2 linked regions of the Caenorhabditis elegans genome follow. The protein of the gene in region 1 purifies or fractionates together with the protein of each later gene. This does not show direct contact. Each region holds a gene or a part of one and is shown in the gene's direction. Other genes may lie near its edges.

What was found. The genes of interacting proteins can lie anywhere in the genome.
Region 2: the proteins of gst-6 (region 1) and ZK470.6 fractionate together in Caenorhabditis elegans (co-fractionation; one large-scale study listed by BioGRID). This does not show direct contact.

The regions. Positions count from the first base shown.
Region 1 is NC_003280.10:4,876,283-4,883,893, forward strand, and holds gst-6 (putative glutathione S-transferase 6), read left to right. Parts: upstream 1-3,608; 5' UTR 3,609-3,633; coding exon 3,634-3,766; intron 3,767-4,215; coding exon 4,216-4,703; 3' UTR 4,704-4,823; downstream 4,824-7,611. Other genes in the region: gst-7 (putative glutathione S-transferase 7), read left to right, coding at 5,837-5,969, 6,522-7,009; gst-8 (putative glutathione S-transferase 8), read left to right, coding at 7,472-7,604. UniProt on the Caenorhabditis elegans protein: Conjugation of reduced glutathione to a wide number of exogenous and endogenous hydrophobic electrophiles.
Region 2 is NC_003284.9:4,175,565-4,181,255, reverse strand, and holds ZK470.6 (MD-2-related lipid-recognition domain-containing protein), read left to right. Parts: upstream 1-3,948; coding exon 3,949-4,047; intron 4,048-4,095; coding exon 4,096-4,315; intron 4,316-4,362; coding exon 4,363-4,576; intron 4,577-4,627; coding exon 4,628-4,772; intron 4,773-4,892; coding exon 4,893-4,985; 3' UTR 4,986-5,191; downstream 5,192-5,691. Other genes in the region: mrp-6 (Multidrug resistance-associated protein lethal(2)03659), read left to right, coding at 1-17, 70-149, 205-355, 407-513, 943-1,063, 1,138-1,241, 1,644-1,847, 1,893-2,141 and 2 more.

The DNA.
Region 1 (7,611 bases):
TCTCATTTATTGAAAAGTGAAAGTTCTCGAAGGACACTGACACTCTCAGCAAAACGTTCTGATATTGTTAAAATTGATTAAAAAAATGATAACATACTGAACGGTTCCTTCGTTCAAAAAATCAATTTTAAAATCTTCCTGGTTCAACATTTTCAGGTTGTGTAAATCGCGATTTTTTGTAAGATTGGTAGCGTTTGAAACGCTAAAACCTCAAAAATTGGCAGCTATGGGTGTCGAAATGAGGGAAAGATGAACATGGGTGATTTCGTTCCGTTTGAAGAATAAAAAGCGAAAAAAGAGACGATCACAAATCGCGCTCATTGATTTACTGGCCGCTAAGCGAGATGTGACTAGCAACATTTTAAAGAGAGAGAGAGAGAGGGGATTGGATTGATAGAGTTGCTTTCTTAGGTACGTGAGAAATTTTAAGGAACAAGTGCAAGCTTGAGATAAGATTCTAGAGATTCTAAAGATTCTACAGAAGACACAAACGTTTCGAGCTGCCGGAACTAGTTTAATAGGGATTATGTTTAAAACTCAAAAAATACAGAAGAACGAAATGGCATAATAAAATACATACGTTTTAGATTCTTGAAAATTTCCAGTTAAAGTTTTGGAAAGTTTTTAGTCACAGTTTTGGTTAATAAATCAATTAACCAACACTTTGTGCTCACTGAAAAATTTAAAGCAATTTTACATGCTTTAACACCTACAGTTTACTAATCCAAGTAATTCGAAAAAAATTAGAGTATATGTACAACTCGTAGAAAAACTAGTTTTTTTAATAGGCTTCCAAACTTATGAGTGGTGACATTGAGTAATCTAGACTTTATCACTGCAAATAGAAAATTAATTGTTTATTTTAGAACCATTGGAATGATTTTCTACAAGTTCCGGCTCTTCTCCCCTTTGAAACTTTGCGGTTTCGCATAAGGCGGTGCTCGTACGTATTTCGGTCTAGATTGATCTCGCTATAAAATAGTTGACGAACTTTAGATTGAAGTATATTTATTTTTGCATTTTTTATTCAATTGGCATTTTTTCTAAAACATAATTTTTATGACAAGAAAAACTTGGAAATATTCCAGGCAATTCAGACAATAGCTCAATCGGACCCTTTTTTGAAATTTTGTACCTCCATAATAAACTTTAGCGAACAACTGGAGCTTCTAAATTTTCAGATAAAAATTTCCACATTCGCAGAAATCGGGCGTTGAAAAAAGTTACAGATTCCGGAAGATCAAGAAGTCAGTACTAGTTCCTTACTATTTTAAACATTTCTAGTAAATAGTATCTCTATTCCAACTTGCTAGAAACTGAAATCATAATTTTTAACAATCAAAATGTTGTCTTTTGCAGATCCGAATACGTGTAATGTTCAATTACAACATTCGTTAAGTGTCTAGATATTTCAGAAATATCTGTACACAAACCTGAAAGGTTGCCAAAAATTGCCAAAAGTAGTGCCAGCTTGTAATTTTTCGGAGAATTCAAGACAAGCTTAAACTATATATCAAGGCTAACTAACTAACCCAACGAGTAGGTGTTTTGTTTAAAATTTTCAATATGGGTTTTTACAAAAACTAGCCTAAATTCTTTGTCGATATAAAAACAGGATAGATACTAAAAAATATGTTATATTTCAAGTGGGCACAACTGTAAAAATTGACACTAACTTCCCATTAATTATTCAAAAATTCTCCTCATTTTTCATTCTGCCAATGAAAAGCGATATCAATCAAGCCGCAAATAACCGTTTTCTCAAAAAAGAACCATAACCAATGACAGGGCTTTCTTCATCTTCTTCTTTCATCATTCTTCCATTTTCCAACGTTTCCTGAAAACGAGAGACGTGAGAAACTTGCTAATAAACTGCTGCCTGTTGTGGTGTGGTACTTGGTGAGGTCTCTCGTCCGTCCGACGATGAAAAACGAAAAAGTGATGGAAAAAGAGAGAAAAGGATTGAAAATGAAAATGAGTGAGACAGAAATGGAATGAGAATAAAAAGTTAATGATATCTGAAAACAAGGTATAGTCATACCAGCAAGAGTAAATTTCCAAAAAAATAGTTTCACAAAAATGTGAATGTTCACTTTTTTGCTATATTCACGATAATAACAATTAATCAAAAATTCTACTAATATCGCAGATTTGAAAAAATTGAATTGCAAAACGGATAAACTTGCCAGCAAAAGTGGAAGCCTCGGTGGTCAACTTAATTTTCTAAACCCACTAAATTGCGTAACTTCAAGCTGCCGTATCTGGAAAAATACAAGTCTTGAGCAAAAATTGCTAACTAACAAAATGATTCAAAATATTTTTACTTTTATTTGCATTACTTTTCACTGCAAAAAACTAATTATTTGCAGAGTTGCACAGAGAATTTTTAGGTCGTTTCAGAGAAGAAATCACTTAAAATGAACATGAAATTCGTAAATAGCGTGTTCTCAGCTTTCTAAAAATATTTTTTTCGACCCAAAAATCGCAATTTCATTTTTCCGCTCATTTTTCGAAAAGCAAAAGTCCCATTTCTTATTTTGGAGCGGAGGACGATTTTGGAGATGAGCCCACATTTTTGAAAGATTTTCTAGGACATTGTAGAAACCTCAAAAAAATGATCATTTTTCAAAATTTCAAGTCGATACGTTGGATATGAAGATTTTTATGACGGAGATTGGATTTTTTCAGAAAACGGTCTATAACTTGGCGGAACATGAAAATATCGAAAAACTTAAAACGGATAAAATGTGGAGAAATATTTTTCACTTACTACTTAACAAAATTTATCTTTTGAAATTCAATGAATATTGAGTTATAAAGGGTACAACAAAAGAGTTCTCAAATTTTTCTTTGAATTTTGGAAAAATGGCTTTGACTCTGTGTAACTCTACAAAAAGTTGTTGATATACAAATTAATGTAATAGAAAGAACAAATGTTTCTGATCATTTTGTTAGTTAAAAATTGTTTTTCAGACTTGTATTTTTCGAGATACGCCAGTTTGAAGATGCTCAGTTTAGCGATTTTAGGAAGTTATTTGGTCCGTTGAGTGTGATGTATACCAAGATTGGAACTTTGAAAATATGAAAGTATAGGAAAAGAAATGCAACTCTAAGGCACTTCAGGTGTGAGCGGCAAATGTTTTTTTACGGCAAAAAAACGGGAAACCGGCAATAACGGTAAACCGGCATTTTGCCGGAAATCAGAAATTACCAAAATTTCAGAATTTCAATTTTAATCGGCGAAATTGTACGCATCCTATAAATGTTCCTAAATCTATTTTAATAAGTAAGCAATTATGTGTTTTTTTCTTAATTTCAGGTCTTTCCAAAAAAGAAATTATCAAGAATTGACATGATATCAAGAAGTAACAGACTGTATATTCCCCATAAAGCTTTAAAATTAATTATCCTCTCAAAGCCTTTTTGATTTCTGAAATCACGGTTGATCATACTATAGTCAATCTTGAAAGTGATCCGAAAAACGCTGTGCTCTCAAGTTTTGGTTTTGTCATCAAATATCTTCAGTCATATATTGAAAAGTAAATAATGATAGTAGAGCACACAAAAAATGATAAGAATAACCCAGTATTTGATGATAATTCACATTCATTTTGTAGGAAAAAATTTCACGAAATGGTTCACTACAAGCTCGTCTACTTCCCATTAAGAGCCCGTGCTGAAATTGCTCGACAAATCTTTGCCTATGCAGGACAGGATTATTCCGAGGAGAATCTGAGCTTTGAACAATGGCCAGCACGCAAAAATAGTGAGTTTATACACTTTTGGCAAAGATAAATGGTTTCAAAACTTGAAAACTACGTTTCATACATTTCGGTATTTGTTTATTTTTTAAATTGTAGATAATTGCAAACAAAAGTTCTCTAACTTTTCACATCCGAACTAGAACAGTATTCCATGATTCAATACTTTAAAAAAATCACTTTGCAAATTGGGATTATGCTTCTGATTGTTTTTTTTATTTCCTGATTTAGGGTGATCAGTCAGAAGTTCAGAAAAAAGGTTGTAGGTACGAGGAAAACTTGATGCTTGAAACTTTTTATGGAATTGTGCTTTCTGACAACATCTTGGACACTGTGGAAAAGTCGCTCCTGGAGATCGAACTAATCCGAAAAATTTTCTAAGACCTTCATACTTTTTTAAAATTAAGATTAGATTTTATTTTAAAACACTTCTCCTCAAATTTCAAATTTCTAGACACTCCATTCGGTCAATTGCCAATTTTGGAAGTCGATGGAAAACCATTGGGACAGTCATATGCAATTGCTCGGTACTTGGCCAGAGAGTTCGGAATTGCTGGACAAAATGACACCGAGGCGGCAGAAGTGGATGCAATTGCTGATCAATTCAAGGATTATCTCAACGATGTCTCCCCATATTTAACAGTTCTTGCTGGATTCAAACCTGGAGACAAGGATCAACTGAGAACTGATGTTTTTGTTCCAGCTTTCAAAAAGAATTTCGAGTTTTTCGAGAACATTCTGGCATCTAATCACAGTGGTTTCTTTGTTGGAAACTCTTTGACATGGGTGGATCTTTTGATTTCGCAGCACGTTCAAGATATTTTGGATAAAGATTTGGCAGTTGTTGAGGAGTTCAAGAAGGTTTTGGCACATCGTAAGAAGGTTCAGAGCATCGACAGAATTCAGAAGTATATTGCAAACCGTCCAGATTACCCATTCTAAATTGAAATGAGTTTGCAATTTTGTATTATTTTTTAATTCATATTTCAAGAAGCAATTTTTTGCTAATTTGTTTTAATGGAAATCGATGTTTCTAAAATATCTTGAATGAATTGTTCTTTTAAAAATTTTATGGTAAAGTTTTCAGCAGGATGTTTCTATAGAAGCTTTTTGCATTGCAAGAGTGTTGAAATATACAGGATATTTACAAAAGCCTGGGAAGTAGGCATGCTTTTAGGTACAAATCAGACCTACACCGCCTTCCTTTGTGGTTTACCATCATAGCTAAAACTTTCCGAACATTCCCTGGTGAGACACAATGTTCAAAGCACAAAACCAATCACGTCATAATGTTAATTTGACTTTTATTGTCAAAAATTACAAAAGCGTCGTTTTCTGGAACATGAACATAATAAGAATTTTCAAATTTCGGTGGGCACAATAAATATGTAATCTTTTATTTATTTTTGGAGGATAGTCTTTTCAAAGGCAGGTGTATAACCCTCAAAAGAAAGCACGTTTGTGTTTCAAAGTGAGACTTAAATTATTTCAAAGACAAATTCCATAGGAAATCATTGTTCATCAGGCACCTTCCCAGAAATTAGGCTGTAGGCAGGCACGTAGGCTGCGGTAAATGCCTACGCCTCTTTTGCGCGAGATTATGAAATTGTGTTGTACTGTCGGAAAAATTTCAGAAACAAAAAAAAATATTTTTTGTGACTTTTTGTGTCAGTTATAGTAGTTTCTTATCATGGTATCTTCAATAATAATGGCAAGCGTAACAAGATGATTGATGCCATGGGTTTATATTTGTGAGTAGTCACAAATTGTGACACAACATTCCCTTCGAAAGATCTGGAAAAGTCACAAAACCTTGCATATATTTTTTTCAACCAATATTATTTTGACCTACTCTGTTCATCGTAACATTGCAACAACAAAAAACGATGACTACACTTTATGATTTCTAGTCAACAACGTGCGCGCAATGTGTAGAGCAAATGATGACAAACTACAGAATATGGTGAGTGGAGAGACGACAGACATTTGAGAAATGGGTATAAATAGAGACGGCCGGCATTCAGTGTTCAACCCTTCTCATCGACCACTCGATTTCTTGCTTGGTTATTTCAACAATGGTCCACTACAAGGTATCGTACTTCCCAATTCGTGGAGCTGGAGAGATTGCTCGTCAGATCTTGGCCTACGCTGGACAAGACTTCGAGGACAACAGAATCCCAAAGGAGGAATGGCCAGCTGTCAAGCCAAGTGAGTTTGGGATTGAAAATTATTGTTTGAATAGGTGCATAGATATTGAAATTGTTAGTTGAAATCTTATAAGTAGTTCCAAATTAAAAATTCATTTTAGAAATAGTTGCAGGCTTTTAGTTAAGCTGTCTTTGGTTTTATCAAAAAAATTTTGACTGACAAAATACGTGAAGAATATACTTTTAAATATTGTCAGTTAAACATTTTTTGATAAAAGTTAAGAGAACCGAGATGTAAGCCGTTAAAGTAGCAGGTACGGTATATTCCTTACCTTTCCTGTTCCTATTAACTAGGTCACACAAATTGCCTTTTTGCCTTTAGAGTAGATTGAAGTTGTTATTGAGTTACTTTTTGAAAGTTATTGAAATTTCGGTGTTCGAATGAATAGACCTTGAAAAAGGAAAAAAAAATTCAAGGCTAAACTCTAGGCAGTTTGACACCTAGAGATGTAAACAAAGTGCTTGGTATGACTGAGAGATAGAAGTTTGGAGTCAATGATTGTTTACTCAAAGAAAACTTTGAACTTTAGGTTTTAATTATATTATTTTTCAGGCACTCCATTCGGACAGCTTCCACTCCTTGAAGTTGACGGAAAGGTTCTTGCCCAATCTCATGCTATCGCCCGTTACTTGGCTCGTCAGTTCGGAATCAATGGAAAGTGTGCATGGGAGGAGGCTCAAGTCAACTCGGTTGCTGATCAATTCAAGGATTACCTCAACGAAGTTCGTCCATACTTCATGGTGAAGATGGGATTTGCTGAAGGAGATCTCGATGCTCTTGCCAAGGACGTCTTCCTTCCAGGATTCAAGAAGCACTATGGATTCTTTGCTAACTTCCTCAAGTCGGCTGGATCCGGATACTTGGTTGGAGACTCTTTGACCTTTGTCGACTTGCTCGTCGCTCAGCACACTGCTGATCTTCTGGCTGCCAACGCAGCTCTTCTCGATGAATTCCCACAATTCAAGGCTCATCAGGAAAAGGTTCACTCGAATGCCAACATCAAGAAGTGGTTGGAGACTCGTCCAGTTACTCCATTCTAAATGATTTCCAAATTCACATGGTCTCTTTATGTATTTTTGTATTGATATGGGATAAATGATTGCATTGAAATCTATTTATTCTGAAAAGTTCTCTAAAAAATAAGATAGCAGAAGCAACCGATATATTTGTTCAGACATCCGAATCATCATGAAAAGGCACTTTTTGAACTGAGTTGTCAGTAACATCTGCGCAGTGGGAAGAGTAAATGATGACAAACTTTAAAGTTTCCAATATACTCTTTATTTTAATGTACATTTATCTAATTCAACCAGTTCATTGAAACAGACATAACGCCAAACTATATTTGTGGTTTGTTGTCAGCAGAGTGCGATCAAAGCAGTGATGACTTAACAGTACACACACACTTAGAGAATATGAGTATAAATAGAAACTTCTTGGTTTTTATTTCAAACTGTATCACAGACTTGTACTCCCCAATTACTTGAAAAGTGGTAGTAATAATGGTCCACTACAAGCTATCATATTTCCCCATCCGTGGAGCTGGAGAGGTTATTCGACAGATATTTGTATATGCTGGACAAAGCTTTGAGGATCATAGAATTTCAATAGAGGAATGGGCAGCTGTCAAACCAAGTGAGTT
Region 2 (5,691 bases), on another chromosome or scaffold:
CGACAAAAATTCTGAAGGTAAGGCTAGGGTCTAGGCAGGCTAGGGTCTTTAGAACATTGTTGGTTTTAGGAATGATTCTGAATCGCTTTTCAAAAGACATAGGCCTCACTGATGACTTGCTTGCGTTCACGTACTTTGAATTTGTTTTTGTAAGTTTATCAATAATTTATTGATTATCTTAACAAACTTCAACTTTGTTTACAGGGTACGTTGACATTTGTGGGAATAGTTGGATTAGTCTCCATGGTCAGACCTATTGTCATTCTTGCCTGCGCGTTCATAACTGCAGGGTTCTACTTCTGTAGGAAAATGTACGTTCATCGTTCACGGGAATTGAAGAGAATTGAGGCAGCCGGTAAGCATTACTTCGCGGTTCTTGAAAACAAAACAGTTTTGAATATTTCAGCTCGGTCTCCACTGAACACTACTATTACATCTACTGTCCATGGTTTGTCGACTATTCGAGCATACCGAAAAGAAAACGAGATGATTGAAAAGTTTTGCGCTCTTCATGTAAGTTTCGAATACATTTTATTTTACAAAGTACAATTTTAATATATTGCCAAACTTTTGAGAATGTTAAAAATTTACTAATCTATGTTAAGTCGAGCCCGATTGAGCTCAGAGCAAGTCAAAGGTTTTTTCGCCGCACATCCCTGATCGGAATACTAAATTTAGCTGATTTTAACGTTGCTCAAGGCCATTAGTGACTACAAGAACGACATCCTATCCTAAAACACTACTCGGAAAAACCCTAAGAATTTTTCTTAGAAAGAAGAACCCCTAAAATCTCCTAGAAGAGTGGAAACGACAACCTAGAAAAGATCCTCTAAGACCCACCCTATAGGAAATACCCCCTAAAAACACCTAGGTAAGACCCCCCTCCCTAACGCCAGAGCCCATTTCTCGAACGAACTATTTTAAAATTTGACCTTTTCACAGGATGTTTATATGGCCGCGTACAACATGGGACTTTTGTCCGCCCGTTGGTTCGGAATTTGCATCGACTTTTTGGTGTCTGTTTTCGTTTCCATTGTGGCGATTGTTGTTGTTCTTCAATATGGTAAGTCAACACAGTAACGTTTATCCACCGCGTCCATCGTATCTTATTTCAAAACAACACTCCGAGATTTTTAGAAACCCTGACCGTCGGAGAAGTCGGATTGTGCCTTGTGTGCGCGGTTCAGTTGAGTGGATTCTTCTCGTGGATCATGCGGCAAAGCGCCGAGCTGGAGAACGGGGTGAGTTTATTTTTTGCTTGTTTCTTTTTTTATCGCGGGAGATTCCTCCAATTTGCTCCCCCTTCTCCTCCTCCTGCTCCGCCATCAAAGGTCGAATTGAGCTCACTATGCGGTTGGCGAAACATCATGATTATAAAGAGTTTTGGACAATGCTCAAGCGCGAACTGCCCTGATCAGACGATTGAAGTGGTTTGTCGCATTTTCCACACACACACACACACACACATCACAACAAACACAAATGGAATGTTTGTCATGGTGGCGCCAAATGAGCGACCCACCCGAAACTCTCAATTCGGTCTTTTATTCTAAATGAATACAATGTGAACACAGCAAATGTTGCAAATGAAGACAATACAAACATAGTAGTATGCGGATTGAATTCAAACTGTCGATTTGCAGATGGTTTCCGTGGAACGAGTGCTAGAGTACACCAAATTGAAATCTGAAGAAGAAGCCAGAAGACCACATGATGCATACCTCGATAAACAGCTACTGAACTCTTGGCCAACGAAAGGAGAAATCGAGTTTGAAAATGTATCTGTCAATTATGGGGAGACCAAAGTACTCAAAAATCTTAGCTTTGTTGTTTTAGGTGGACAAAAGGTGAGTTACTAACTTTTTGTTCAGAGTATTACTTCTGAAACTTAGATTGGAGTCGTCGGCCGAACTGGTGCTGGTAAATCAACACTCATTAAAATTATTTTTGGACTGAAAGAGTACTGCTCTGGACGTGTCACTATCGACGGTGTGGATCTGGATCACATTAGTCTTAACTTCAGAAGAGGAGGAATGTCTATCATTCCGCAGGAGCCCGTAATCTTTTCAGGAACGGTCCGGGAGAATTTGGACCCGTTCGATGAGTATGATGATGCTACTATTTGGTTTGCGTTAGAGCAGGTATGGCTTTAATTTATTGAAGAATAACATGTGAGAATGAAATTTTTATAAGCCATTTTTATGGCCCCTATAATCTTGTTTTAACACCATTGGCTTTACAAATTTTATTGAAAAAGTAAAATGTTGACTGGGCAAAGATTGAGCAAGACTTGGACAAGACATAAGCAAGACTTGAGGAAGACTTGGACATGACCCCTCCCAAGTCTGATCCAACTTTTTCTCATATTTTAACCAAGTTCAAACTTCACCTCACCGTAGCCCTAGTTTTGTCCTATGTGTGCCTAAATCTGATCCAACGGTCTAATTTAATACGAGATTCCGAAATTCATATGAAATCGAAATTTTTAATAGATTCTGTAGGATAATCGTTGAAAAAATTTTCAGTGTGAGCTTAAACGTTCCATCACAAAAGAAAAAGGATTGAACGTCGAATTGGGCCAACGGGGAGTCAGCCTGTCTGTCGGTCAGCGTCAACTTTTCTGTCTTGCCCGAGCAATGATCCACCGATCCAAAATTCTTGTTATTGATGAAGCAACCGCAAATGTTGATGGAGTGACAGATGCTTGCATCCAGAAAACAATTCGAGACTTTTTCAAAAACGCCACAATCATCACGGTGGCCCACCGTCTTCACACCATTATGAACAGCGATAATGTAATGGTAAGTGGTTTCTCAACAAGCAAACAATGCCTAGGTTCGCAACTTGCAGGTGTTTGAAAAAGGAGAGCTCGTCGAGTTTGACAAACCGATCACTTTGCTGGATGATCAGAGCTCGCTGTTTTCAAGAATGGCTGCTCAATCAGGGGCTGAAAATTTTGACTCCCTTCGGGCGGCTGCATTGGCCCATGCAATCGATGATCAGTCATCGTATACGGATAATAGTTAAAGTTTCATTAAATTTCCATGTTTTCTAAATATTCAAATCATAACTTGTTTCACTTTCACATCATTTTATAGCAATTCAATTGTTCAATGTCACCTTTTCAAAGGGAATCGAGATTGTTTTTATTTCACTTTTTATTCCATCATTCCATTGAGCACAATAATTCCTTGTTCATACCATGATCTAAGATCATTTCGGTTTTGGCCCAGTGATCGCATCGTCCACATCGTGTAGCTTTATATGTGTCGAATTTAATTTTTCTTTGGTAATATCAGCAATTTTGTTCTGTGGTTTTTTTCTGACTTTCATGATTCTAATCGAAACATGTATTTCATGCAAGCTATTCTTTTCTCCATCCCCCTCATTTTTTTCCAATAAAGAAACTCTGTTATTTTTCTGTTTTTATTTTGTGCTCTGTGTTTGCACTGTCCCATGGAAATAAGCAGACCATTTCTGTGACGAGTGTCTGATAAAAACTTGTCAAGAGTGAGGAAGAGAGCCGTCTAGAAAGCAATGAGCAAATCTTCAAATGCCAAAAATGGCAATCTCGAGTGCTTCACCATTTGCTCTAATTAGAAATTGATCGAGCGACAAATGCGGGCTCTCGAGTGATTTGGCGGAGCTTTGGAACCAGGTGCGAATCGCGTTTTTGTCGGACTTTCAAGAACGCCCCACATGTTGGGCGCTCTACAAAAAAAGACGGTCAGGTATATAAAGCACAGAAAACAGCAGAACAGAGCGCACCCGTCGACCTCCCGCTAGCACCTGAGGCAATTCAAAAACCAACCCGCACCTTTTCGTGCGTCGAGTGCTCTATTCAATTTGCACTCATCTGTGTTTTATTCTAAACATTCGATACACCCAGGTTGCGGCCAGTTCCAAAAAAGTTTCCAAGTGAAGATTTCAACAAAAATTCTGTTAACGATGAATTTCCGTTTTATTCTACTATTCTTAATATTCCCTTTTGTTTTTGCAAGTTTAGAAGAATTTGAGCAAGATAGCGCTGAAATTAAAAAAGAAGTGGTATTTTTTTGTTTACTTGTGTTTGTTTTGATTTAGTTTATTTTTTAGCCTGCTCGTTTTCGATCTTTCAAAAACTTTGGTAGCCATCAAGATGCCAGTAATCAAGCTGCAGAAGTAGCTGGCTCGAACGAAGATAACACTGATGACCCTGAAGTTGCACCGGATGCTCCATACCTTATGGCAGATTCTTCTCTAGAACAAGAAGAAGAATGCGTTGCTCTTCCGAATCGAACACGAGTTCGTCCGTCGTTTTTCCAGTGTAAAGAAGGTACAGTACTTCTAGTAAAACAGAGCCCTAAATACCAAAAATTGTAGACACAAAGTTTGAACTTCACGGCGGTGCAATTACAAACGGCAACGGTGATGATACCTACCCGGTTTCCTTCAACTCGCCTATTCGAATTTTCCTCGACATCACCAGTAATTCTAACAAACGATATGACAATTTGGGCGTCGAAGTGTCAATCTTTAAACGTTCAACCGGATGGTTCGGATGTGGGTGGATGTTTTTACCAAGCTTTGGGCTGTTGTAAGTTGTTTTCTTTGCAGAACACCGAAAAACATTGAATGTTTTTTTAAGGAGCAACTATGATATGTGTGACGACAACCCGTCATGTCCGGTGACTCCGGGACGTCAGGTTATCGAATTCGAGATTGATCCAACAAAGTTGTTTACGAATCTGTTCCGAATGATTCACTATGACTTGGTGGGTACTGACCATAAGGTAAACGCGATGGCTATTGTACTGGAGAGCCGTTGACGGACGCTTAGCAAATACGTTTTTTTTTCTTAAATTGAAATATTAAAAAGAAATCCACTTCTTCAGTATACTTCAATTTTTCAGTCCGCCTACCAAATGATGGTTCGAGTCCGAGACAATCGAGATCCCTACCGAGAGTTGCTTTGTGCTACGATCCAAACTAGAATCACACTCTGAGACCAAGACACTTTTTATTTATTTATTACCAAGATCCTTATCAGCAGTATTTATGAACGATAACCGGGACGCAACCCAATTAATTTAATTCCCCTTCCCTACCTTCTCCCCCAGTGAACACCAGAACCAAGTGGTTTCTATTCATCCAGTTGTTTATGATTATGACTCTCTGTTACAGGTTATCAAAAAATGAATAATATAGTATATTCTGTTTTGATATGTGGGAATGGTCTGGAACAACTAAGGTGCATGTGTGAATAACAAGAATTGAAAATCACATGGGATCCGGCTTTCGTTAGATCTCTGTTTTGACACATGTTTATCTCGAGTAATAACGCTGAAAATTCCATAATTCCATAATCATTCTGCTGAGAGAGTAAATTAATTTCTTGCTACTCAGCGGAGAAAACTTCCAGAGGAATTAATTAGTCAAAAAGAAAAACAACAAACAAATAATATTTGTTGAGTAATGTACACTACTTGCAAAACTTTTGTCGACCAATGAGCATCAAATGCAATATGTTAAGCGATTAACATTAACGAAACTTTAAAAAATATGTATATAAACCTGATCGTTGAGAAAAAAGTAAATAACACCGGGGAAAGTGCGCGGGAATGGTGATAATGAAGTGGAAGCGTTGTTCGGGATAAGACCAGTAGCTGGAATGCAGTCTAGTATAAGAAACCTTTTGCTAACCTTTTACAC